Linked DNA regions of Macaca mulatta. The protein of the gene in region 2 interacts with the protein of the main gene of each other region in a pairwise test. Links are inferred from orthologs where the notes say so. Each region holds a gene or a part of one and is shown on either strand. Other genes may lie near its edges.

Region 1 (4,024 bases), on a different chromosome or scaffold from region 2:
CAAACTCTTCCACCCACGCCTCCCTTGCCACCCCTCTCCTCCAGCAGTCTGGGAGGCCTGAGGAGCTGAGCCCGGTTCTGCCCTCCAGAAGGACCCTGCATCTGAAAAGTCACACCAGCTGGAGAGGGGCTGGGCTGCGAGGCAGGGTGCCTGACTGCCCGGATCTGTCATTTAGGCGAGTTATTTGACTGCAGTGGGGCTATTTCCCAGCAGTTTCACAAGGACTTTCAGTTAAAAATGGTTCCCCATGTTCCTTCTAGCTTTGGCATCTAAACTTGCCTGGGAGTTACGGTGGTCAGGGGAAAGCTCTTTTTCAGGTGAGGAAGCACACTCAGAGAAAGTAAACCTCTTGCGTGAAAGCACACGGCTTAGCTAGTGGGGCCGGGGCTGGAACTGGAAGCAGGGTCCGTCTGACCCCACGCTCTTGCTGTCTCTGCTGTGCTCTGACCATGCTTCCTTGGATGTGGGTCCCTTCTCTGCTCCACAGTGGATACCCCGTTGAACTCATAACCTGAGTATCCATTGGTGGCAGCAAGAGGAATTGTGTTCTTTGGAGCAGAGAAGCATTCCCAAAGATGACACAAAAGTCAGAAATCATTAAAAAAGGATAGGTTTGATTACATTTAAAAAATCTATACAAACTTCTGTAATGATCCAAAATGCCCTGCAATACAAAGAAAAGGAAAAAAGGAGAAAATGTTTGCTATATATTTAAAAAAGGATTAATATCCGTAGTATACAAAGAGCACTGAAACCTATAAGCATTACCCAATTAAAAAAACATGAACTGGGTATTCACAAAAGAAGAAACACAAATATATATATTATATACATGATGAGCATCCTTTTTTTTTTTTTTTTTTTCTTTTGAGACGGAGTTTCGCTCTTTGTAGAGACAGGGTTTCAACATGTTGGCCAGGCTGGTCTCAAACTCCTGCCTTGGCCTCCCAAAGTGCTGGGATTACAGGAGTGAGACACTGTGCCTGGCCAACATCATTTTTTTTTTTTTTTTGAGACGGAATCTCACTCTGTTGCCTAGGCTGGAGTGCAGTGGAACGATCTCGGCTCACTGCAACCTTCATGTCCCAGGTTCAAACTATTCTCCTGCCTCAGCCTCCTGAGTAACTGGGATTACAGCTGTGTCCCACCAAACCCAGCTAATTTTTGTATTTTTAGTAGAGACGGGGTTTCACCATGTTGACCAGGCTGGTCTTAAACTTGCCTCAGCCTCGCAAAGTGCTGGGATTACAGGCGTGAGCCACCCCCCCGGCCATGATGAGCATCCTTATGGGCGATTCTACCCAGCTATCAAAGTGCTTCTCAAAGCTACCAATCAAAGCAACCTTGGCTCCTTCTCAGGACTCCCACGCACACTCCCTGGATCCCCAATCCCAGCTATGTGGGGCAGGTGGGGACCACCTGGCAGCTTAGGGTGCCAGATCAAACTGGTGCCTGGTCCTGAGTGTGTGGCATTACAGAAAGAGTCTTAATGGGGAGGGTGGAGTCTGCGGAGGTTCAGGGGCAGCTGTGGGCAGAGAACATCAGGAACCAGAGACATCAAAATCAAGGGTAATAAAGTGGAAATCACACTAAGGCCTGAGCACCCCCAGCTATTTGGCTTATTCAAGCTGAGTATAACTACAAAGAGGGTATTCCCCGTTTGCAAGTACCGATGTGCCTTTGGTCTCAGCTCCTTCTGGTATCCCTGTGGGTAACACCATCTAGGGCAGGGGCTCTGCCTTGCTAGTGAGAGGAAGGTAAGGGGTCCCTTGCACTGAACTGTTTATATCTCATTGCAATAAGATTCTAGTCCCTTCCTGGCAGAACCCTGCTGCTAGGCCACAGCTTTTTATTAAGCACCCACTATGTGCCAGGCACTGTTCTGAGTGCTGGGGATACAGAGATGAACAAAACACACAAAAATCCCTTCTCTCCAGAGACCCAAGCATCTGCGTTCCAGGGCAGGGGCCTAGGCCCCAGAAAATCAGGGCCAGGGCTAGGAGAGCATGGGGGCAGTGGGGGCATCAGGGCTGCCAAGGTAGCAGCCTGGGAATATCCTGGGAGATATTGGATGGGGGTAATGAACCATCTCAGTGGGCTCTCAGACTGTGTGACCCCAGCAACAAGAGGGCAGAAACAAGCAGGTAAGGGTGGTCAGCACTGACAACACCCGCAAGTACACTGCATTCCAGTTCCCACGTGGCCCAAGAGTATAGGGCAGCTAACCTGGGAGAGCCACAGAGACCGCCTCACTCCCCATTTCACAGCTGTGAAAACTGAGGCCCAGAGAAGGGAAGCTTTTGTCATGATTAAGGAACAAATGAAACTTTGAAGGAGAGACTTTGAAGGAGGGATGGATTCATGCAGGTGTGTGGCCCATTCCCCTGGCCTTACCTTTTTGTTTTTCAGTCCCATCCTCTTGAGGCCAGGAGTGTCTGGCCTTGTTTAACAATCTTGGGGACGAGTACCTGGTATAAGTGGGTGATCAGGCATCAGTCCTGCCCAGACAGTTGGCCTGGGCGTCTTGGAGTCCTTATGGTTAGTGGACAGTATGGAGGTCAATGTGGTCTCAGGGGTGCCACACACCAGCCCTGGGGTCTGGATGTTGGGGAAGGGGGAGGGTGGCCAGGTGGGGGCAGGTCCTCGATCTCTCAGCAGCAAGATGGTCTATGGGTGGAGGGGCCTAGGGGGTTGCAGGCCATGGCCAGTTGGACAGGGTCAGCAACGAGGCGATTGACTCTTGGCACTCCCAGGACGGTGGAGAGATGGGAGAGCCCTCTCTCTGCCCAGGCCTGGAAAAGCAGTGAGCTTTTCCACCTAGCTGGGTCACCTGGGCAACATTGTGTGATGTCACAGGGCAGGGCCAAAGTCACACAGGCACCTGTCCAGGTGCAGTGAGCTAGAACACGAATCTCTTTTCCCTATTCCTGGAGCTGTGTTCCACCTGCCGCCTGGCACTCAGGCCTCACCCTTCCTGTTCTTGGTGCCTCACATAGTCTCCACCGACCCTGTGGCATGGCCAGCCCCATGCCGCTCACACTGCAGCAAAAGAGGAAGCCAGACACTGCTCTCAAGAGCGTGGCAGCTTGATCGGTAAAACAGCTACTTCTGTTGAAGAATCTACCAGCCATCGTGCCTCTTTGGGTACCTATAGTCTTCCATTTATTTGATAATAATAAACACAAACTTCAAGAGGATGGTTTCTTCTGGGAGGGTGGGTGGGAAGATGGGGGAGAGAAGAGGGTAAGAGCATACATTCTAAACCTTTGGGTTTTTAGATTGGGTGGTCAGTTAATGGGAGTTCATTATATTATTGAAAATAAATTAGAATTAAACAACTAAAGAAAGCCATGATGGGCCAGTGATGGCACTAGAGTATGAACCAAAGATTGTGGTTCAGTTCTGAGTGCTGCAAGAAATTATTACGAAGACAAAGTATGTCTTTTAGTGGAGCATTTGCAGCACACCAGGCAGGGTTCTAAGTGCTTTTGGTGAGGTGAGATGGCAGAATGAGGAGAGGCTAGTCGTTGGCCTGGGGTGGGGAGTTGTTCTATAGAGAGGTGAGGTCTGAACTGGGCTTTGAAGGATCATCAGAAATCCTGGGCTAGAAGAGGAGGGATCTGGGGTGCTGGGTGGTGGTCAGAGGTGTTTGGGAGGCCCCTGTGGCCTGCCTCATTTCTACCTATTTTGGGCCCCATGTTGGAGATTCTTTTAATCTGGCCGAAGAGCAGGACCAGCCTGGCAGCCAGGAGGCAGAAGACTCCTGCTTTGCAGAGGCCTCCCAGCCTCCCTCTCTACCCCCCCTCCAGAAAGAGCAGCAGCGAGGATGTGGTTCTCCCCAGGTTAGAGACAGAAAAACTGAGGCTTTGTCTTTGATTAGAACTGAAAGGACCAGCCAAGACCACCCAGACACTGGTGGGAGATGGAAGTCGGGAACCCCACTCCTAATTTTCTCCCCGTCTAGGCCTGCCAAGAGTGGTACCGCTGGGGCTCTGGGACTGGGGGCCTGACCAGGAATGGCCTG
Region 2 (3,500 bases):
ACTAATGGTTAAAATTCACAGTTGAGTAAGAATTAAAATATTTTAGGAGTTTCTCTTCATCATCAGAAGCAAAGCAATGGAATTCTATTTCCATTTGATAAAATTATTGTAATTTTTTATGGTAAACTCTGAGAGCTTAAAATATTACTTGATTTTTTATTTATCATTTTAAGGTACATGCAATTAAATGCTTTTTAAATTAGTGGATTTTCATATGATTCTTGGAAAAGAATAATGTGATAAGAAACAGTTTTACAAAATAACTAAAACTACTAATAATTTTTATAAGATTTTTAATTTTTAATATATGTTATATGCATATATTTATCAAATAATTTGTATGTTTTGATAAATCTGTAAATAGTAAAACATCAGAAGGCATTATTTAAGCTTTGTTGTTGCTACTGCTAAAATCATTACTTAAAAAAAATCTTAAGAGTTAAAATTTGTTCATTCAGACCATGTATTACTTATTTAAAACCTTGGTTCTACTTGTTATCTGTTATTTAGTGTTAAATCAATTTATTTAATTTTAACATTTAAAAGAATCCTACAAGTTTGCAAAGACTTGACACAGCATATTTGTCCTAGCCCAAAAATACATTTGCTCTCCTTATATTAATTTTTCATTACTAAGTTGCTGCCTTTTTGTGGCAACTTTATTATTTTTATTCTGACAAGTGAGGCAATGATAGAAACTGTAAGTATTAATCTTAACAATGAAAGTAATGTAATGTACTAAATTAAATTGTGATATAATATTTTCACCTCATATTCCCAAACAAGCATCCCAAATGTCAAACTACATCATCTAAAATTTGACCCTTAGTTTATTATACATAATAGGTAAATGTGCCAAGAATGTAATTTTGGTTTCCTACATTTTAGAAGCCAGAGCATCTCTTAGATTTGGGAACAGAACATTTTCTACAATAATGGTACAATTATATATATATGAAAAAGCAGTTTTTAGGCTTTTATATCATAATTTATTATGATATTATAAAGGATATTTTTGAAATGTAACATTTTTCTAAATGTTGACTAAGTTGATGGGTTTTTAGAATTTAACATGTCATAGCAACAGATTTTATAACAGTATGATAATTATAAAGTATGCTGCAATCAAGCCATTATAATTAACAATGTAAAAACAAGTAATTTAGAATGTTTATCCTTTTGAGATATTTTTAAAATGCCTCATACTTTAATCATCCTAAATAGTTTGCAAGGAATTTTGAGTAGTTGACCCTCTTCTGTCCATACAATACCACAAATGTGGCATTTGTGGTATTGTATTTATGGTATTATATGTATGGTACCATACTAATTTTACTAGTAAGAAAACTTAATAAGACAATAAATGTCCAGAATTAGACAGTGAGTAAGTGGTGGAACCAGGATGAGATTCTAATAGATTTTCTACTGTAAAGAGTTACTCTGTTGTATAGATATATGCAATAAATTACATTGATGTCCATATGCCCAAATATATGAGAGAAATATACATTTTTTAAAAAAATTTATATTACCACAGTGTTGCTCCTTTAAGTATTACATTGCTAGACAAAGTGCTTTCTAATTACCTTGATTAATTTCACTTCTCACAAACCTCATCAGATTAGATAAATTGTCCACATTGGGGTAGATGAAGTTACCTGACTAAGCTTATCCAGAAGATAAATCGTGAAGTCAGATTAGAATGCATAGCTCAGGACTATAATTTACAGCAAAAAAAAAAAGCTACTATTCACTTCTACTTACAATGTCCACAAAAAAAAAATTATAGCAGATGAATATAATTGCACCTCATCATAATGAGCACTTAGATGTAATAAAATTGCAGAAAATAAATACATTTGATACTGCCTCTTTAAAACATAAAAACACTAAAATAATAAAAAGCAAAGGAGATGTTAAAATTATCTTAAATCGGAATTTCTAAAGTAGGCTTCTGGTCATTGATGGTTATAAAAATCTCCTCATGTTGCTATACCATGCAGCCTTGGTTGAGAACCATGGGAAGAGGGCAGAGGTAGACAAAACTTTAGTGTAAAGGACCACAAAGTAACTATTTAGGGCTTTACTACCTATATGGTCTCTCTCTCAACAGTTTAACTTAGCCTTTGTGTGTGAAGGCAGTTATAGGCAAAGTGCGAAGCACGGCTGTGTCCCAATAAGATTTTCTTTGTAGTATTGTTTCAATTTTATATAATTTTACATTGAAAATATTTTAATGTAAAATTTTAAAATACAAAATTATAAAGTATATATATGTATTTCAATATAAAATTAAATTACTTTTCTTTCTTCGTTTTTTTTTTTTTTTTTTTGAGACGGAGTCTCACTCTGTCGCCCAGGCTGGGCGTGATCTCGGCTCACTGCAAGCTCCAGCTCCCAGGTTCCCGCCATTCTCCTGCCTCAGCCTCCCAAGTAGCTGGGACTACAGGCGCCCACCACCACGCCTGGCTAATTTTTTGTATTTTTAGTAGAGACGAGGTTTCACCGTGTTAGCCAGGATGGTCTTGATCTCCTGACCTCGTGATCCGCCCGCTTGGGCCTCCCAAAGTGCTGGGATCACAGGCGTGAGCCACCGCGCCTGGCCAAAATGAAATTACCTTTTGCATTACCTTTTGGCAACTGCGAATGTTGCATAGATAGATGGATGGATGGATAGATAGATAGACAGACAGATAGATAGAAAGATAGATATATAGCATTTATCTATTCCCTAGATAAATGAGTGAATGAATAAGTGGAATATATCCAATCAAAATTGCCCACAAAATGGTTTTGTGTCTTCTCCACTGAGAATGTTCATCAGTTGAGAGTGGAGATTAATGTGTTCCCAAGAGCAGCAGTTTTTCACTTGACACATGTATTTGAAAAATATGGTCCATATGGCTGTAGAGATAGTTATGTGAACCAAGAGGAAAAGTCTATTTATCTACGGTTTGGCCTGATCTTCAGACTTTTGTATTTTTCTCATGTTTTCAAACAAATAGAATTTTCTTTTTAAAATTATATCAATGGACATATCCATGAACCTTTCTTAATGGGAGTCTGTTTGTCGGTGGCGTTACCTTTTGGCAGTTGCAAATGCTGCATGCTGCTTTTTTGTGTTTTCTGTGTGTAGCTAGAGAGATTGCAAGCTGAAAACAGCTCGGAATGGGACAAGAGGGAAATACTTGAAACAGAAAAGCAGGGACTGGAGAGAGAAAATAGAAGGTTGAAGATCCAGGTGAAAGAAATGGAAGAGCTCTTGGATAAGAAAATTAGATTAAGTGCAAACTCTCCAAGTCCTGATTTCAAGACGTCACAAATTGACCTGCAAGAGAAAAACCAGGTATGGGTGCTCCTTGGAGCAAATTCTCACTGTCTAATCTCACCCTCATGCCTATGCCGAGTCTGTCTTCACTGGTACATGCCTCCACATTTGGCTATTTCCTTTTGTGCTAGCTAACACCTGATACCCCTTGCTCTTCTGCCCACTAGGATGT
Region 3 (3,500 bases), on a different chromosome or scaffold from region 2:
CATTTTGCCAGTAAATATATATATATATTTTTAATTGAGATGGAGTCTCACTCTGTCACCCAGGCTGGATGCACAATCTCAGCTTACTGCAATCTCTGCCTCTTGGGTTCAAGCAATTCTCGTGCCTCAGTCTCCCAAGTACCTGGGATTACAGGGTGTGCACTACCATGCCCAGCTAATTTTTGTATTTTAGTAGAGACAGGGTTTCACCATGTTGGCCAGGCTGGTCTCGAACTCCTGAACTCAAGTGATCCACCCACCTCGGCCTCCCAAGGGATTACAGGTGTGAGCCACTGTGCCTGGCCTAGTTTGCCAGTATTTTGTTGAGAATTTTTGCATTAATGTTCATCAGGGATATTGGCCTGAAGTTTTGTTTTTTTGTTGTATCTCTGGCAGGTTTTGGTATCAGGATGATGCTGACCTCATATAATGAGTTATGGAGGAGTCCCTCTTTTTTAATAGGAAAAACATTCATGTGATAAAAAAATTTAAAAAGCTACAGCAAGGTAAACAGTGAAGAGTCTCCTTCCAGTAGCTTCTGCTGGCTGACCAGCCCTCTTCCCAGAGGCAGCCATTAAACATTTCTTGTGAATCTCTTCAGAAATGTTTTATGCATCAACAGTTAGATATATACATTTTCCCTATGTTCTATCCCACCCCTCCTTTTTGTTATACCAATGGCAAACCACTATATACAATAATGCTTTTTTCACTTAATAATGTATCATGGGCTTCATACCATATCAGTACAAACAGTTTCTCATTCATTTTTAAGCAGTATCATATTTCATCACATGGATGTATCATAAAATATTTAGGAGTTCCTTATTTAAATGAACATGTATCTTGTTTATAGTCTTTGGCTATTTTTATTATTTTCTTACCTGAAACTGTCTGAGCAAATCTGATTGCTTCTTCAACCGGGTCTGAGTTCACAACTTTATCTAGAATGCCCAGCTTGAGTGCTTCACCTGCTAAAATATGTCTTCCTGAAATAAACAACAACAACAAAACAATCAAAGAACAATGTAAGATTAAAGCAAAAGCATTACTCTCTCTAGCAGGAAAGGCTGTCTGTCTGGATATAAATATCTACTATTGAATAAGGTAAGTAAGAACCACATTGACTGATAGAGTAGAAAGATCACCACCAAGGTAACCAGGAAACTTGGATTCAAGCTCCAGCTCTAGTTTCCACTATTTGTGTGATCATGAAGAACTGCACCAGGACCACCATTTCCTCATCAGCAAATGGCAATAATTATGCTTATCTCAGTAATTCTGAGTATTAAGTGAGAATAATAGATTCTCTTTATATTCTATAACTCTCTACAGAAGTACTTTATGAACTACAAATCTCTATAGAACTCTATAGAAAAGTGAGATGTTTAGTTTTCGATAATAATAATAGAAGTAGTAGCAGCAGAGTAACATATAGTATCTATCCTATCCCTAGCATACACCACTGGCTGTGGTTGGTTTAAAAAAAAAAAAAAGAAAGACCAGGCACGGTGGTTCATGCCTGTAATCCCAGCACTTTGGGAGGCTGAGGTGGGCAGATCAACTGAGGTCAGGAGTTCGAGACCAGCCTGGCCAACATGGTGAAACCCTGTCTCTACTAAAAATACAAAAATTAGCTGGGCATGGTGGTGGGCACCTGTAATCCCAGCTACTCAGGAGGCTAAGGCAGGAGAATCGCTTGAACCCAGGAGGTGGAGATTACAGTGGGCTGAGATCACACCACTGCACTCCAGCCTGGGCAACAGAGCTAGACTCCATCTCCAAAAACAAAAACAAAAATAAAAACAATAAAAAAGAGAGAAAAAATAAAAAAAGATAGTTCCCAGACATAAATATAGTTAGCTCAATGAGAAAAAAAAAATAAGTTGACATTCTATAAGGTATAATTAAAATTACATAGGACAAATGGGATGGACTTCTGCCAGTTTTTGGCTACCCAGCATCTCAACTCTTCCCTTAGTTTGTGGAATGGCTATTGTGTAGGCTTTGAAGCCCTGCCTCCTACTACAGAAGCTGAAAAGGACACAGATGATTAGACAATTGACAATTTGACTGTGGCAGCTGGAGTGTGGCCCATGACCCCAGTTAGTGAACTGAGTGCTCTGTTGAGGGTTTTTAGCTTGCAGTTAGTGACACTAAGCAGCAGCAACAGGTTAAACCTCATTTTACAGCTGCCAACATCTAGTGTCTGGCAGTGGTGGTGCTGGTACACTTAGCATCCAGTCATACCATTGGCATCCTCCAGTACAGAATGTCAGCAATAGGGGATATAGAAGTTTGATGAAGGTTTGCGCCGTTCCTAAATTTGCCTTGACAGTTCTTCACCCATTGTAAATATGCAATTTGATCCGCATATTCTGAGGTAAGAGGTAGGGGACATCAGCATCCCCTATCCCAGGGTCAGAAGGAAGGAGATAGTGACACACCGCTTGCTTTCTTGCCAGTACCATCTTGCCTTCTGAAAAGCAACCATCAAATCTGTCTTGGTGGCAACAGTTCCACAGTCTTCACTGCACTTACAGTGTTGGTGGATGCCATCGGAGACAAACCTTACATTCCTGGTTCTTATTAGTGCTTCAGAGAACTACAAATGAGTTTTCTTGATTGGATAGAAAGTCCGGTGATTTTTTTTTTTGTTTTGGTAGGTGTCTCTTTGAAAAGCAGTATTTGGACAGTTTTCTGGAAGTATTTCTGAAAACAGGCTTTCAGACCTCCTCCTGGAGTAAGGAGTAGGATAGGAAGTACATAAGTAGTTTCCAGGGTCAAGTATCCTGTGTATAAAATCACTTTGGTAAGTAGAGGGTGAACAGCCTACCCAGGTTAAGGGAACCAAGCAAACACAAAATGGAACATGGAAACCTGGATACTATTACAAAAGGATTTTGAGGTCAACTAAGCAGGGAGAATGTGAGCTACTCCCAGATGGACTACAAATTTCTTTAGCTGTAATGATTTCTTCTGGCTTGGATTTCACAAAATTGGAAGAGTATCACTACTATTCTAACAGAGTCAATGGGATTCCAAGTACAGTCATATACCATATAATAACATTTCTGTCAACAACACATATATGATGGTGGTCCCATATGATTACAATATCATATTTTTACTGTACCTCTTCTATGTTTAGATGTGTTTAGATACACAAAGACTTTCCATTATGTTACAAATGTCTACAGTATTCAGTAAAGTAACATGCTGTATAGGTTTGTAGCCTAGGAACAATAGGCTACACCATATAGCCTAGGTGTGTAGTAGGCTATACCATCTAGGTTTGTGTAAGTAAACCATGATGGTCACATAACAACAAACTCATGTAATGATCATTTCTCAGAATATATCTCGTTGTTAAATGATGCGTAGCTGGACTTTTATCCTGTTTCGAAGAACTAAGGATCTAAAGACATGGCTCTGTATATCCAATCCAGATTCTTAGGCTGTAATTTAAATTTGTTTTTTCTTATGACACCGTAAGTGTA
Region 4 (3,963 bases), on a different chromosome or scaffold from region 2:
AAAAAAGAATATGTATTTTATGTAATACCACATAAGACTTTTTTAAAAAAATACTTAAAAAGAAAATAAAAGAAAAAACATAATTTAACAGAGGGCATAGTTCTCAAACTGTTTTCTCTGTCTCAGGACCCCTTTACACACGTTACTGAGGATCCCCAAGAGCTTTTAGTTTTGTGGGTTATATTTACTATGGACATTAAAGTTGAGAAATGTTTAAAAAAAATACACAATTCCATTAGCTGTTAGAGCAGTGATATCATCACGTCAAGCAGCCTCTGGAAAACTTGACTGTTCACTCTGAGAGAATGAAAAAGACAAGTAACATCTTAGTATTATTATGAAAGTAATTTTGGCTTCGGGGACTCCTAAACCGAGTGAGTTTAGGAAATCTCAGGGGTCCCCAGACGACACTTTGAGAACCGCTGGCCCAGGGGGAAAATGACAGAAGAAAACACACTACACGACAACAGTTATTCTCTCTCAGTGCTGGGATTATAATTTATTTGCTTCTTTGTGCTTTTCTGTTAAAAAAAAAAAAATAAAAAGGAAAGGAAAACAGAAATGGAAAATACAATGACCACGTATTGTTTCTGCGAACAAAAAATGAGACAGCACACTCGCCTCCCTAAGATTTTTGAAAGGCCCAAACAGCAATAGCACATTTAGCTGCATGGAAGAATTAAACTGAGCTCAAACCTGAAAATAAGAGTCCGATTTCCCGTTTGTCAATCCCTGGGCTGTGAAGTGCAGGGTCTTGCCCTCAAAAACTCCACGGTTCACCTTGGGGAGAGAATGTACTCGCATACATACCTGTGCTGCAAGGTTCCCAGGGCCCCAAGGGCAGCGGTTGCATCCTACACAGTATTGTAAACTCCGGTGTGCAGCAAAACCACCCATCGCAGCTGCAAGCCGCTCCAAACCGCTCCCAGCCGCTCCAAGCCGAAGTTCAGCCCTCAAACTAGTCAGAGACCCTCCGCAGGACGCATGCGCGCTTACAAACGCAGAGTTAGGTGGGGCTTGAGGGAGACTGACACAGAGTTCGGCCTCTCAACTTTCTAGCTCCGCCCGCATGTCCTGTCTCCTTCTCTGAATGGCTGAAAGGCTGCGGAAGTAAGCTTCCCACGGGCCGCGGACGGAACCCACATCCGGTTTGCACAGCGATCCCGACGGCGCGGAGGCAGCTATGGTGCGGTTCAAGCACAGGTAAGCATTCCCTTCCAGACCCACCCAGCGCCTTGCCAGGTCCCCGCGGCGCCGCTAGCGCCCACCTTCCTCTCGCCTGCCGCAGGTACCTGCTCTGCGAATTGGTGTCTGACGACCCCCGCTGCCGCCTAAGCCTCGATGACCGAGTTCTGAGCAGCCTCGTACGGGACACTATCGCCAGGGTGCACGGGACTTTCGGCGCAGCCGCCTGCTCCATCGGCTTCGCGGGTGCGAGAGCGTTGGGGGAAGAGGGGAACCCGGGAGGATGGCGGGACGTGGAGGGGGCAGGCGCCGGAGGAAGAAAGAAGGGGCACGAGTGGCCAAGCCCGTGCATCGTTTTTTGTAAGGTATCTCTTTAAGCGCCGGGGACCGCAAGCGAGAGATCCACACGAGTCCGAAATTAGCAGAGAGCTAAAAGGAGGGGCCCGAAGGCAGTGGGTCTTTGAGCTAGAGGCCTCTTTTTGCCTGCTTGACAGGTAATTTCTGTAATTGGTTGTGATTGAATTTGATAGGATAGAGAATTAAATGAGGGAAGCTGTATCTAGTTCCTAGTAAGAGCTATTATGACCGATTACATTAACATCACATGGAAAAAAATTGTCGAAAGTATCCTTGGGAATGCCCTTAGTTGGTAAAGTACAGAACACATGATCGTCAATATATGTGAATACAGGATGAGCCGGGACAAAGAGGGGCCCGGGGCCCTTCTTCCACACCATTTATATTAGTTCCCCCTTTTACCTTGCTTGAGGATTGACTTCTGGAGAGTTAAATGCAGATAGGCTTAACTCATCCTTAAGTCAGGTGAGACTCAGCTGACTGCTACAAGAATTACAGAGCCCAACTGCAGTAAAACAGCCTATTTTTCAGGCGAGGGTTTTTCCTAAATTAAAATGGATCGCCCTCCTACCTGCTCCTATTTATTGAATTAACTAGTGAATTAGAAAGCATGTTAGATTCTAAATTCATTCACCAGTTCTGAGTGGTGTGCAACACAGTGGGTGTTTTGGCTTTTCTCTTTTACTCGCTGAAAGATCCTACGTGCCACTTGTGCTCTGTTACTCTAAAGTTTTTTTGTTTTTTTTTTTTTTTTTGAGACAGTCTTCTGTTGCCCAGGCTGCTGGAGTGCAGCAGGGAGATCACAGGTCACTGCTGCCCCCACCTCCTGGGTTCAGGCGATTCTCATGACTCAGTCTCCTGAGTGGCTGGAATTACATGCGTGCACCACCACGCCCGGCTAATTTTTGTATTTTTAGTAGAGACGGGTTTTCATCATGTTGGCCAGGCTGGCCTCGAACTCCTGACGTAAAGTGATCTGCCCGCCTCAGCCTCCCAAAGTGCTGGGATTACAGGTGTGAGCCACCACACACAGCAAAATTTTCCGAAATGATTTTTTTTTCCCTGTTGTAGTTCGATACCTCAATGCCTATACTGGAATAGTGCTACTTCGATGCAGAAAAGAGTTCTATCAGCTTGTGTGGTCAGCTCTTCCCTTCATCACATACCTGGAGAACAAAGGACACCGTTACCCATGCTTTTTCAACACGTTACATGTGGGAGGTAGGAGTGACGTGATACGGCTACTGATTTTCAATAGGTGACATGTTCAGAGTTCAGTCTAGACTGGTGGGTGGGTCTTCCTGCTGTCCCGCTAACAAGACACTTCCCCTACCTCTGAAAGTAAGGTCGAGACCTTTCACAAGCTGTTGACCGCAGTAACTCACATGCCAGGTACAATAAGAACATGTCAGAAGTTCCTAATTCAGTACAACAGGAGACAGCTGTTGATCTTGTTGCAGAACTGCACTGATGAAGGTAAGCAATACTAGCCCAGTGCCCGCTGAGCAGTGACTGACCTCGAGCTGAAGAAATCACTCCCAAAGACATCTTTCATCCCTATCTGCCTTCTCCAGGAGAGCGGGAAGCTATCCAGAAGTCTGTGACAAGAAGCTGCTTACTAGAGGAGGAGGAAGAGTCAGGTGAGGAGGCTGCAGAAGCAATGGAGTGACCCTCTGCTCACCACACAGCAGGCTACACTGCTCAGGCTTCGGGCCCACTTGTTGAACAGAACAATCTGGGTAGCAACAGCATCTTCTACAGTTTTCCAAGCTGGATAGCTGCCAACCAGCGGACATGTTACCCACTTGAAATAGAGTACTCAGTTAAACTGAAGTTGCCTTTACCTAGCATTCCCTGGTTAAGTGTTGCAGGTTGTGAACTCTATGTAGACATCTTTATTGCTTGGCTAAGAGTAGATTTAATAAATGTATTTGGTTTCCGTGGCATTTAGTATACTTATGTTACAAAAAGGGCTTATGGAGTCCATGCTTGGCTAAGTCTCTGTTCTCTATCCCTAGCCTTGGTGGGAAGAGTGACTCCCTGTGTGGTACTAAACTTTTTTATTGAGACAGTCTCACTCTGTCACCCAGGCTGGAGTGTACTGGCCCAATCTCGGCTCACTGCAACCTCCACCTCCCGGGTTCAAGCAATTCTCCCACCTCAGCCTTCCAAGTAGCTGGGATTACAGACGTGCACCACCACACCTGGCTAATTTTTGTATTTTTAGTAGAGACAGGGTTTTGCCATGTTGGCCAGGCTGCTGTTGAACTCCTGGCCTCAAGTGATTGGCCTGCCTTGGCCTCCCAAAGTGCTGGGATTAAAGGCGTGAGCCACTGTGCCTGGCCTAAATTTTCAATACTTAGCCTTCTACCTGAAGCTGTGTACCCCCGGCCCCAAGATGGGCCCTAAGCAAGACAAGTC
Region 5 (3,955 bases), on a different chromosome or scaffold from region 2:
TGGGGACATCAGTTAGACTTGCATGGAGGTAGGAGTTGGACTTGGTGAGGGGGCAGGGCTTGGGGTAGGAGTTGGACTGTGGGTGAGGGCAGGGCTTGAGGCGGGAGTTAGACTTGGGTGGTGGAAGGAGTTGGACTTGGTGGGGGGCTAGGCTTGGGGTAGAGGTGCAACTTAGTTGTAGGCAGAGTTTGGCAGCAGGCGTGCAAGTTTTGAGGTGGGGCTTAGGAAGGGGTGCAACATGGCTGCAGGGGTGGGGCTTGGGAGGGAATGAAGTTTGCAGTGGGGGTGGGGCCGCAACCTTACCTTAGGATCCCTTCTGCCCTAGCAGCAGCCCCCCCGCCCCCCACCTCCCTCCTCACCTCCCACCCCTCTCGCCATTCTTCCCCCCACTCCTCCTTCCCCCCCACCCCTCCCCCCTTTCCCCCCTCCTCTTCCCTCTGCCAGTTGTGCAGTTTCTTCTACCCCTGCACCAGGGTCCTAGTGGACACCTATGCAGAATCTGAATTGGCATGGCCTGAGCAGGGACATGTGTGTGGGACAGAATCACAGCAAAATACCTGTGCTTTGCCTTGGACAGATCCAGGGAAGCAGGAACCATCACGCCTGAGTCAGGAACTGCCTAATTGGATAGAGTTGAAGAGCAGAGCGACTCTGAAGTGACTGTGTTATTGCAGCATCTGCGCTGCCAGCAGGGCCAACCCAGAAAGGTGAGCAGCTGTGAGGTGGGCCCTGTTGGGAGGGTCTCTGGAACCCCTGCAAAGAGTGTGGAGAGGGGACTGCCTGCCAGCGTTCACAGACTCTGCAGGGTAGGGCCATCTCTAGGGCAAGAGTTGTTGGTTTCCTGCAGTCTGGCAGTGGGGACCTCATCAGGGTCCCTTTTCTACCTGATTTCAGCTTCCACACAATTGAAACCATGAGCTCCTGTCCTTTCAGCACTCACTCCTCAAGCCCACCTCGCCTTCCCTCTCCCACCCTCCTTTTTGCTGGGAAGCTTTATTGGTTGGAGGCCAATGACATCACCTGTTGCTTCTCAAGGACCTTAGCCTTACCACATGACACTCCCCTGCAATAGCAACCCATGGTCCATGGTATTCTCTGTATCCATGGCAACACTGCAGCTTGTCACACAATCTCCACACCCACCACTCTCATTGCATTGCGCAGAGCTCGGCCATCTTTCTCATCTGTCAGGCGTTCCTGAGAAAGAGGGCCATTCTACCTCTCCTGCTGCCAGCCTTCACTCCAGCAAGGAGGGTGCTGGGTGACCTGAGCCCACATAGCCCTGAGTGAGCAGTGAGGCCGTCTCCTGCCCTCTTCTGCCTGGAGAGCTTGTCAGTGTCCCCAGATGTCAGGCCCTGCCTCCTGACTTTGGCCTTTTCACTACAGATACCCGAAGCACACACAGCAGAGTCCTCTGGACTTCGAGGAGGAACCCACAGCAGGAGGAGGTCAGCAGGGAGTGGTGAGATGAGGAGATCTTTGCCTGGGGAGAACCTCCACCCTCTACCCTCCCCAAAATAACTTGGGGAACCCTGGGAAGAAGGGACTCCATCCCTGCTCGGGGGTGGGGGCAGAGGAGGGGTGCTTGGGGGTATAGGTTGGGGTAGGCATTAACAATGCTCTCATCCCATTTGCTTTGCAGGCTGTGGAAACCTGGGACCACTTCTACCTTCCTACGTGGCAGTGGCTCAGAGTTATTTGAGTGCTGTCAAACTAAGCTGATTGCTGCCCTAGTATTAGATCAGTCCATAGAAAGTGGGAGCAATGGCATTGACACTGCTAGAGGATTGGTGCAAGGGGATGGACATGGACCCCAGAAAGGCCCTGCTGATCATAGGCATCCCCGTGGAGTGTAGTGAGGTGGAAATTCAGGACACTGTGCAGGCAGGCTTACAGCCCCTGCGCGCATACAGGGTGCTAGGGAGAATGTTCAGGAGGGAAGACAACGCCAAGGCAGTCTTCATTGAATTGGCTGACACTGTCGATTACACTACTCTGCCTAGTCACATACCAGGAAAGGGGGGCTCCTGGGAAGTGGTGGTAAAACCCCGTAACCCAGATGACGAGTTTCTCATTAGACTGAACTACTTCCTGAAAGATGAGGGCCGAAGTATGACAGATGTGGCCAGAGCCCTGGGATGTTGCAGCCTCCCTGCCGAGAGCCTGGATGCAGAGGTCGTACCCCAAGTTAGACCCCCACCTTTAGAGCCTCTGAAAGAAAGTATGTGGTACCGGAAACTGAAAGTGTTTTCGGGAACTGCTTCCGCTAGCCCAGGTGAAGAGACCTTTGAAGACTGGCTGGAGCAGGTCACTGAGATAATGCCCATATGGCAAGTGTCTGAGATGGAGAAGAGACGGCGTCTGCTGGAGAGCTTACGAGGGCCTGCTCTGTCAATCATGCGGGTGCTCCAGGCCAACAATGACTCCATAACTGTGGAGCAGTGCCTTGACGCCTTAAAGCAGATCTTTGGGGATAAAGAGGACTTCAGAGCCTCTCAGTTTAAGTTTCTGCAGACCTTTCCGAAGATTGGAGAGAAAGTCTCCACTTTCCTGCTGCGCTTAGAGCCCCTGCTGCAGAAAGCAGTGCAGAAGAGCCCCTTGTCAGTGCGCAGCGCAGACATGATTCGTCTGAAACATCTCTTAGCTCGGGTCTCCATGACCCCCGCCCTCAGAGGCAAGCTGGAGCTCTTGGATCAGCGAGGGTGTCCTCCCAATTTTCTGGAGTTAATGAAGCTTATTCGAGATGAAGAAGAGTGGGAGAACACTGAGGCAGTGATGAAGAATAAGGAGAAGCCATCAGGGAGAGGCCGGGGGGCCTCTGGTAGACAGGCAAGAGCAGAAGCCAGTGCCTCTGCACCTCAGGCCACCGTGCAGGCAAGGTCTTTGAGCGACAGCAGCACCCAGACTGTACAGGGAGGCTTACCCCCATTAGTGAAACGCAGGCGGCTGTCGTGCAGTGAAAGCACTAGGGAAGAAGACTATGGCCAGGCCATGTATCCCAAGGCTGAAAACCAGACTCCAGGCAGGGAGGGGCCACAGGCTGCAGGAGAGGAGTCGGGAAACGAGGCAGGGGCTGGGGCCATGAGCCATCCCAAGCCCTGGGAAACATAGGCTCAGAAGACCCAAGCACTCCTTCCCCTGGCAGGCAGCAGGGACATTTGAACAAAGGGCAGCTTACACTAACAGGGAACTTGATTGGGGCAGAGGGACAGGGAAGCCAGGTCAAGATCAAGCCCCTTTACTTTCCACCAGCTGGAAGGGACTTCACCAACCTAGACCAAATAGCATCTGGTTCAGTGGGGGCCAGGCCCATGGCCCCTAACAGGTATAGGAGACACAAGCAGGGAACAGCTACACTTAGCACAGGGGGTGGCTGGGCTTCAGATGGGGACCCCAACAAAGCAGGGGCTGAAGACGGTGTGGCTGGGGGCTCTGGCCTGGTCATCTGGACACCCCCAAATATCCACCCTGTGAACTTTGAGCTGAGAATGCCCACTGGCACCCAGGCCATGTGGGACCTGGAGGAGCCTGCCTGGGGCCTGCCTCTGCCAGAAGGAGCCAGGGCTGCTGAGGAAGAGCTGTGGGGGAGAAGTGAAGCCCGGCAGGGGAGGCTGCAGGGTCCAGCCCGTCTTTAGGATCATTTACACTGCATGAGGGGAGCCCCAGGAAGGCAGCATTCATGACCCCCTGCACCAGTGAGGAAGAGAAAGAGGAGGAGAATTAAGAAGAGGATGATCAGGAGGAGGAATAGGAGAATAAGGAGGGGCAGGAAGAAAAGGAGGAGGAAGAGGGGGAGGAGAAGGAGGAAGAGGGGAAGGAGGAGGAAGAAGTGTGAGAAGAGAGGACTTGTTGGGGGTGGGTAGTTGTTTTTGGTTTGCGTCATCACCAGGCCCAGGCTCTGCTCACTGCTGTTCCGTGTCAAGAACTCCACCTCTGCTTTGCCGGTGTAGATCTC
Region 6 (4,107 bases), on a different chromosome or scaffold from region 2:
ATGGGGTTGACAGCATTATCTTTTGTGGTTATTTGATTAAACATTTACTAATTGTGCATATTTTGGAGCCAGCAGTTTTTTTCTACCTTTCCATTGCCCTCCCACCTTTCCTCTTTTGCCAACCTTTTCAGTTCCTTGTTGGATGTAGATATTTAGAAGGCTTACAGGCTACATGGGAAAAGTACCCTATACCTTAACCTCTTCCACCTCTTGAGCCTGGCCTTTGTGTAGCAAATGTTGCTTAAGGGGCAGTGGCTTCTCCCTTCTTCTGCCTTGACCCTGCCCATTTGTAGAGTGACCTGCCTATGTATTCCTTGATTTTTGATTCTGATAAAGCACTTGACATTTTAAACATTCTTTTTTTTTTGAGACGGAGTCTCACTCTGTTGCCCAGGCCATAGTACTGTGGCACGATCTTGGCTCACTGCAACCTCCACCTCCCCGGTTCAAGCGATTCTCCTGCCTCAGCCTCCCAAGTAGCTGGTACTACAGGTGCACGCCACCATGCCCAGCTAATTTTTGTATTTTTAGTAGAGACGGGGTTTCACCATGTTGGCCAGGATGGTCTTTATCTCTTGATCTCGTGATCCTCCTGCCTCGGCCTCCCAAAGTGCTGGGATTACAGGCGCCCCGCCACATTATTCTGTTTTTTGGTAAAGCACATTGTAATGTCAGTATATACCACCCCAACTCCAAATTCTGTTGCAGTCAGGGGAGGTGAGCAGTGTCATTCTATGCAGTAAGCAGTTAGTGCTGGCTTATATTAGCGATACTGAGATTTATTAAAGATAGTTCCTATTCCATAGTAGCTTTAGCATAATGGGCACACTCAATAATGAGAATACTGAGGGGTTGGGAGCCTTGGGAAGGATGCTGAAAAGGGAGGTCAAGAAAAGTTTTATTTAAGAAGTTGAAGGGGGTTTGGGAAAAGGAAGGATAATATTTAGAGAAATGGATTAGGGAGGAGGTTGGTTGAAGCAAGGGTAGGGAGAATAAGAACAAGGGTGTGTGAGGCAGGAGATGGGATGGACGTTTGTGTATTATGTACCAGACTTTGCTAGGTTACATAATTCATTTGCTCCTCTGGATGGCCTGTGAGGTGGGCTATAGTATCTCCATTTCGTAGGTGAGAAAACAAGATTGGAGAGGTTAAATGGTTTACCTAAGTTACTATGTGCTGGTAAGTGGCAGAGCCACTATTTGAACCCAGATCTCTATGATGACAGTTCTTTTGCCCATATGCTTTGATGCCTCAAAGATCCAGGCCTAAAGTGTACCTGTGTACCATTTTCTTTGTTTTGACTTCAGAAACTTGAACTTTACCTGATTTCTGTATGTTGTCATCTTGTGTACGCCCGGTCCCCACGACAGTCCGGTTTGTAGATTCTCTGATCTGCAGTTCTTCCCGTTCCTTCATGGATTTGAAGGCTCTCCTTTCTTCCTTGAATGACTTTGCATCCCTCTCCTTTGCTGAGAGTTGGGACAATGTTGGATTACTGGTGGAACCAAGCCCACCACATACTGTAAATACGCTCTTCCTGACCAATGACCTGACTGAGGAAGTGATGGAGGAGGGGCTGCAAAAGAAGGCAGACCTCATTCTCTCCTACCATCCGCCTATCTTCCGACCCATGAAGCGCATAACCTGGAACACCTGGAAGGAGCGCCTGGTGATCCAGGCTCTGGAGAACAGAGTCGGTATCTACTCTCCTCACACAGCCTATGATGCCGCACCCCAGGGCGTCAACAACTGGTTGGCTAAAGGGCTTGGTGAGAAGCTTCTTTCATATTTGATATTTTCCCTGCAAATACTTTGAAACCTTAGAATGTCTGTCCAGTAAAGTTTTAACTGCTTTAGGGTTGGGGAGGGTATGATTCCATTTTTGTATAATAAATTTAAAATAATGTTGCTGAAATTTGGCAGTTAAATTGCATTTGAAAAAGGAAACATTTTTTATTCTTACGGAGTTAGGAGAGCAGAAGTCTTCCTTACTGGGCTGAACTTCGTGATCCCTCACTTTTGTGGCACAATGCCTGTCACCCAGGCACTTGAAAAATGCTTGTTGAATTGAAAGCTCAGGTCTCTCCAGAATACACTTGATTGATAAATCAGGCAAATAGACATCTGGGTTTTAGTGAATGTTTTTAGTGAATGTTTACTTATGCCTAGGGAATGATGTATGGATTTTAGCTTTACTTTAGTAAGTCTTTTGTTTACTCATTTTGGGCTGAAGCTTTTATTATGATATCTGGATTAATGTGGTCAAATAAAGTATGAGCATTTGCAACCTGAATGATGGTTTACATGGGTAGATTTACCAAACAGTAGACCATTCTGTGTATTATCTGAAAATGTATGAATCAGTCTTTCTTGTCCAAGTTTTTCAGAGATTTAAGAATCTTTTGGAAAATAATTCTGAAATAATTTGATTTTGTACATCCATACCAAAGCCCTAGGGGACTGGTGATGTATATCTAAAGGATATATGTATGTGTGTGTATGTCATATAAGCATGAGAATGAATCTTTTAAAAAAGTCATTTCTTAGAAATTTTGCCTATAATAGTTTATCTTACTTTTAAATGTTAACCTCTAACCCCCCAAAACTCCCATTTTCCCACAATATTTTCTCTAGGAGCTTGTACCTCCAGGCCCATACATCCTTCCAAAGCTCCCAACTACCCTACAGAGGGAAACCACCGAGTAGAATTCAACGTTAGCCACACCCAAGCCCTGGACAAAGTCATGTCTGCAGTGAAAGGAATTGGTGATGTTTCTGTCACTTCTTTTTCTGCTAGGTACAATTTATTTTTCTCTTTTTTGTGTGTGTATTTATTTGTAAGCATCTTCCTTACAAAGTCTGTAACCCTGGTATTTAGGCTTGAAACAAATAATTTTCTCTAGAGTTGGTTTACAAAGCAGCATACTCCTCATTTGTCTGTGGGTCCTGGAGACCTATGGAATTTTTTCAAAACAATAAAAACAACAAGTAACACTTATTAAGTATTTTCTATGTCAGGGGACTATACTATGCATTTTATATACAGTATTTCTAATCCTGTTGATGTTCAAAGATAGTTGTTTTCACTTTAGAGAACACAGATAGATCCTAGTGATGTGGTGATGAGGCTTTTATTGGTTCCCAGCAAATCAGTGATTTCCAAGCACTTTCTTTGTTTTTTATATTTATCTTTACATTTTAAATATATATTTTCATAAATCAGTTTTTTAATTTAACATCATGGGAAATACTTTTCTGAATAATCTTTGTTTGTTTGTTTTAAGAGACTCCCAGGCTGGGCGCAGTGGCTCACACCTATAATCCCAGCACTTTGGGAGGCCAAGGCTGGTGGATCACCTGAGGTCAGGAGTTCGAGACCAGCCTGACCAACATGGAGAAACCCCGTCTCTACTAAAAATACAAAATTAGCTGGGTTTGGTGGCGCATGCCTGTAATCCCAGCTACTCGGGAGGCTGAGGCAGGCGAATCACTTGAACCCAGGAGGCGGAGGTTGCAGCGAGCCGAGATCGCTCCATTGCACTCCAGCCTGGGCAACAAGAGTGAGACTCCATCTCAAAAAAAAAAAAAAAAAAAAAGCGATTCCCATGCTGGAGTGCAGTGGTATGATCGTAGCTTGCCATGGCTTTAAGCTGCTGGTCTCAAGCAGTCTTCCCACCTCAGCCTCTTAATTAGCTGGGACTATAGCTGCCAAGCACTTCAAGTGAAAAATACATTAAGTGCCTCTTTATAAGGTCAATCATTATTTAGGGCAGAGATAGGAGTTTTTTTGGTTTGTTTATTATTTATTATTATTTTTGAGACGAAGTCTAGGTCTGTCACCCAGGTTGGAGTGCAGTGGCACAATCTTGGCTCACTGCAACCTCCGCCTCCCTGGTTCAAGCGCCCGCCACCATGCCTGGCTAATTTTTTTTTGTATTTTTGGTAGAGATGGGGTTTCATCATGTTGGGTGGGTTGGTCTTGAACTCCTGACCTCGTGATCTGCCTGCCTCAGCCTCCCAAAGTGCTGGGATTATAGGCGTGAGCCATGGTGCCCAGCTGTTTTTTTATTTTTTATTTTTGAGAGACAAGGTCTCACTTCGTCACC
Region 7 (3,500 bases), on a different chromosome or scaffold from region 2:
CTCAGCTAGTCTCTAAGCTCCTTGAGGGCATCTTGTTTTTGACTCCTCAGTGCCCAGGTATAGTCTGGCATACAGGAGACATGCAAGCATCGCTGACTGACTAGATGTGTAAGTCTCAGAGCAGGTGAATTCACAGCAGAAATGGGTCTTGAAATTGCAGACTATTTTGAAAACATAAATCAGATACATGTCTCCTAGTTCTGAACTCTTTGTACTAGATCTTTAATGAGCTCATGTTAATCCACATATTATAAAGAGCTTTTAAAGTTAAACTTTTATGTTTACCATTTAAAATGGCCCAGACTAAGTATTTTGATACATGCCCTCAGTTCTATGGGTGGATCAGAGAGAAAAGACCAAATGGCCACCAAATGACCCTCAAGCAAAAGTCATCTAGTAAGCTGATAAGCCATTAAACATTTTGAAGAAAATCCTACCTCTGTATATCATTAAGAGTACAAAGGGCTACTTAAGAGAAAATATTCTGAAATAACTATGTTCTGTCCTTTTAAGGATACATTTTATTTTATACTCCACAAATAACTTTGAGTTACAAGCTTACCTGGAACCGTCACTAAGAGAGGCTTCCCTGATGACCACTGGCTGAACTTCCTTTAAATGTAATTTATCCTGGTACATTTTCTCTAATTTTGCCATAGTTTCTAGGTGGGCAGCCTTCAACTCTTCTACTTTCTTGAAATACTCCTCATTAGAGTGGTGAATACCAGGAAAGTTCACAAAGTCCTCAGAGCTTATTGGTACATGTTCATCCACCCCAGAAAAGCTGGTGTTCAAATCAGCCTGGTGGGGAGAAAACACCTGTTATATGGTGACTGGAGCTGAAAGACAAATTAAGCTGACACTGATCCAAAATGCTGCTTCCTAAAGAGTCCACCTAGTTAGGTTATACGTTAATTATGGGTTATGCATATAGAATGAGTTACAGGTTATTTGTGTGTACATTTTCCCCAGTGATATTTTAAGAACAAGAGGGAGCGAGACCAAACTGTCAGAAAATAAATGTTATTTAATCCATTTGATAAAGGATGGTTAGATTCCCAGATCAACCAACAAAAGGTATAACAGGATAGAACCCAACAATTGTTTACAAAGTATTTCTATAAGGAGCCTCCTGAGTTGTAAGTTTTTTTTTGTTTTGTTTTGTTTTTTTGAGACAGAGTCTCGCTCTGTCGCTCAGGCTGGAGTGCAGTGGCGCCATCATGGCTCACTGCAAGCTCCGCCTCCACGGTTCACACCATTCTCCTGCCTCAGCCTCCCGAGTAGCTGGGACTACAGGCGCCCGCCACCGCACCTGGCTAATTTTGTGTATTTTTAGTAGAGACGGGGTTTCACTGTGTTAGCCAGGTTGGTCTCGATTTCCTGACCTCGTGATTCACCCGCCTCAGCCTCCCAAAGTGCTGGGATTACAGGCGTGAGCCACCGCGCCCGGCTTGAGTTGTAAGTCTTAACTGAGATGAAGAGGAACACAGTTCTTCCTGCTGCAAACCAGGCAACCACAGCCCAATGCTCTCCCTTCAGCTGCGCTTCTGAAGTGTGCCTCCAAGGACTGCCAGTGAGAGAAGGCAGGGAAATAGAGGGAATGGAGGCGGGGACAAAGTTCTCAGTGGCTTATCAAGGAGCCAGGGAGAAGCCCTCCTCACAGTGGGGCAAGACCTTGGGAGGGAGTAAGAGGACATGGGAGGGGGTAGGAGGGATTTTCAGGGCAGCTGCTCCTGGGCACAAAAGCAGTAGCTCCCATGGGTGACAGGGACTTTGGGATGACAACAAAGCAGAGAAGAAAAAATGGTGTAATTATTCAACACACAGATCATGTTTAGAAGGGTCTGACTGGCCTTTCTCCCTCACTCCCTTTACATACCTTTCAGGTTTTTTTTTTTTTTTTTTTTTTTTTTTTTTTTTTTTCTGAGACAGAGTCTCACTCTGTCACCCAGACTGGAGTGCAGTGGTGTGATCTCGGCTCACTGCAACCTCTGCCTTCTCCTGCCTCAGTCTCCCGAGTAGCTGGGATTACAGGTGCCCACCACCACACCCAGCTAATTTTTGTATTTTAGTAGAGATGGGGTTTCACCATGTTAGCCAGGCTGGTCTCGGACTCCTGACCTCAGGTGATCCACTCCCCTCAGCCTCTCAAAGTGCTGGGATTACAGGTGTGAGTCACTGTGCCCTACCCTTTCAGTTCTTTTAATTGAAGCAACTAAAGAGATAAAACCCCATTTTCTCTATAAATATACAATTTTTATTATGTTTTCAGTTGAGAAACAGTTGAAATTATTTATGATACTATGCATAAAAGACTGCCAACCACGGTTTTAAATTTAGTCTACTGTCTGGAACAGACGCAAAATGAAAAAATTTGCTACAGAAAATTATAGATCCAATCTGATAAGACTCTAGAAAATAAATCTGTTTAGCTTCTCTCAAAAGAAAAATTCAGAAGAGTCAATTATAAATAGTAGTTATAGATGTGGTGTTTTTGTTTCCCATTGGAGGCTTCTCAGAAGATATGGTGTTTTTTTAATGGGCTAAAATCAGTGTATAAGAGGACAATGTTGTACTATTTGGGGTAACTTAGAGAAAACAAGTTTTAAAAAATCAGTCTTCAGGGGCCAGGCGCGGTAGCTCATGCCTGTAATCCCAGCACTTTGGGAGGCCGAGGCAGGTGGTTCATGAGGTCAGGAGATGGAGACCATCCCGGCTAACACGGGAAAACCTCATCTCCACTAAAAATACAAAAAATCAGCTGGGCATGGTGGCGGGCGCCTCTAGTCCCAGTTACTCGGGAGGCTGAGGCAGGAGAATGGCGTGAACCCGGGAGGCAGAGCTTGCAGTGAGCCAAGATCGTGCCACTGCACTCCAGCCTGGGGCAACAGAGCAAGACTCTGTCTCCAAAAAAAAAAAAAAATCAGTCTTCAATAGAACTTATATGTAGAAATTTGCTACTAACAACTCTATGAATCAGAACTGCTTTAAGTATGTCAAACAATTCAATTAAGAGAATTCTCTGATATCTTCTGCTGTTTCTGTATGTGCTTCTCACCATAAACTTCTTACCTGTAGGATGACTACTTTGTGAATTTCCTCATTCATTAAATATTTGGGGGCTATCTTGCAATCAGCTAGCTGCTAAAAGGTATGTCAGTTTTTTTTAAACTCTACCTTTGAGGCCAGGTGCAGTGGCTGACACCTACAATCCCAGCACTTTGGGAGGCCGAGGCAGCCAGATCACTTGAGGTCAGGAGTTTGAGACCAGCCTGGCCAACATGGTGAAACTTGTCTCTACTAAAAATACAAAAATTAGCCGGGCATGGTGGCACGTGCCTGTAGTCCCAGCTACTCAGGAGGCAGAGGCAGGAGAGTCACTTGAACCCAGGAGGTGGAGGTTGCAGTGAGCCAAGATCGTACCATAGCACTCCAGTTTAGGTGACAGAGCAAGACTCCGTCTCACTTAAAACAAACAAACAAACAAACAAAACTCTACC

Evidence for each region.
Region 1: the proteins of CCDC102B (region 2) and CCDC33 interact in a two-hybrid assay, tested with the Homo sapiens proteins (2 studies listed by BioGRID). The two-hybrid records come from large-scale screens. The link is inferred for Macaca mulatta from reciprocal best matches to the Homo sapiens genes CCDC102B and CCDC33.
Region 3: the proteins of CCDC102B (region 2) and EHHADH interact in binary tests that used the Homo sapiens proteins (3 or more experiments, as listed by UniProt). The two-hybrid records come from large-scale screens. The link is inferred for Macaca mulatta from reciprocal best matches to the Homo sapiens genes CCDC102B and EHHADH.
Region 4: the proteins of CCDC102B (region 2) and POP5 interact in binary tests that used the Homo sapiens proteins (3 or more experiments, as listed by UniProt). The two-hybrid records come from large-scale screens. The link is inferred for Macaca mulatta from reciprocal best matches to the Homo sapiens genes CCDC102B and POP5.
Region 5: the proteins of CCDC102B (region 2) and PNMA5 interact in binary tests that used the Homo sapiens proteins (3 or more experiments, as listed by UniProt). The two-hybrid records come from large-scale screens. The link is inferred for Macaca mulatta from reciprocal best matches to the Homo sapiens genes CCDC102B and PNMA5.
Region 6: the proteins of CCDC102B (region 2) and NIF3L1 interact in binary tests that used the Homo sapiens proteins (3 or more experiments, as listed by UniProt). The two-hybrid records come from large-scale screens. The link is inferred for Macaca mulatta from reciprocal best matches to the Homo sapiens genes CCDC102B and NIF3L1.
Region 7: the proteins of CCDC102B (region 2) and FAM161A interact in binary tests that used the Homo sapiens proteins (3 or more experiments, as listed by UniProt). The two-hybrid records come from large-scale screens. The link is inferred for Macaca mulatta from reciprocal best matches to the Homo sapiens genes CCDC102B and FAM161A.

Annotation. Positions count from the first base shown.
Region 1 is NC_133412.1:52,149,774-52,153,797, reverse strand, and holds the start of CCDC33 (coiled-coil domain-containing protein 33), read right to left. Parts: upstream 2,801-4,024; 5' UTR 2,416-2,800; coding exon 2,395-2,415; intron 1-2,394.
Region 2 is NC_133423.1:11,770,362-11,773,861, reverse strand, and holds part of CCDC102B (coiled-coil domain-containing protein 102B), read left to right. Parts: intron 1-3,136; coding exon 3,137-3,346; intron 3,347-3,500. UniProt on the Homo sapiens protein: During interphase, forms fibers at the proximal ends of centrioles to maintain centrosome cohesion. During mitosis, dissociates from the centrosome following phosphorylation to allow centrosome separation. Contributes to CROCC/rootletin filament formation.
Region 3 is NC_133407.1:97,376,196-97,379,695, forward strand, and holds part of EHHADH (peroxisomal bifunctional enzyme), read right to left. Parts: intron 990-3,500; coding exon 885-989; intron 1-884. UniProt on the Homo sapiens protein: Peroxisomal trifunctional enzyme possessing 2-enoyl-CoA hydratase, 3-hydroxyacyl-CoA dehydrogenase, and delta 3, delta 2-enoyl-CoA isomerase activities. Catalyzes two of the four reactions of the long chain fatty acids peroxisomal beta-oxidation pathway.
Region 4 is NC_133416.1:127,903,018-127,906,980, reverse strand, and holds POP5 (ribonuclease P/MRP protein subunit POP5), read left to right. Parts: upstream 1-1,163; 5' UTR 1,164-1,183; coding exon 1,184-1,203; intron 1,204-1,288; coding exon 1,289-1,431; coding exon of another isoform or gene 1,432-1,550; intron 1,551-2,613; coding exon 2,614-2,763; intron 2,764-2,888; coding exon of another isoform or gene 2,889-2,934; coding exon 2,935-3,018; intron 3,019-3,116; coding exon 3,117-3,211; 3' UTR 3,212-3,483; downstream 3,484-3,963. UniProt on the Homo sapiens protein: Component of ribonuclease P, a protein complex that generates mature tRNA molecules by cleaving their 5'-ends. Also a component of the MRP ribonuclease complex, which cleaves pre-rRNA sequences.
Region 5 is NC_133426.1:159,265,446-159,269,400, reverse strand, and holds the start of PNMA5 (paraneoplastic antigen-like protein 5), read left to right. Parts: upstream 1-1,155; 5' UTR 1,156-1,286; exon of another isoform or gene 1,287-1,386; 5' UTR 1,387-1,448; exon of another isoform or gene 1,449-1,462; intron 1,463-1,642; 5' UTR 1,643-1,764; coding exon 1,765-3,111; 3' UTR 3,112-3,955.
Region 6 is NC_133417.1:105,994,551-105,998,657, forward strand, and holds the start of NIF3L1 (NIF3-like protein 1), read left to right. Parts: upstream 1-1,307; 5' UTR 1,308-1,334; coding exon 1,335-1,770; intron 1,771-2,635; coding exon 2,636-2,798; intron 2,799-4,107. UniProt on the Homo sapiens protein: May function as a transcriptional corepressor through its interaction with COPS2, negatively regulating the expression of genes involved in neuronal differentiation.
Region 7 is NC_133418.1:62,893,282-62,896,781, reverse strand, and holds part of FAM161A (protein FAM161A), read right to left. Parts: intron 802-3,500; coding exon 563-801; intron 1-562. UniProt on the Homo sapiens protein: Involved in ciliogenesis.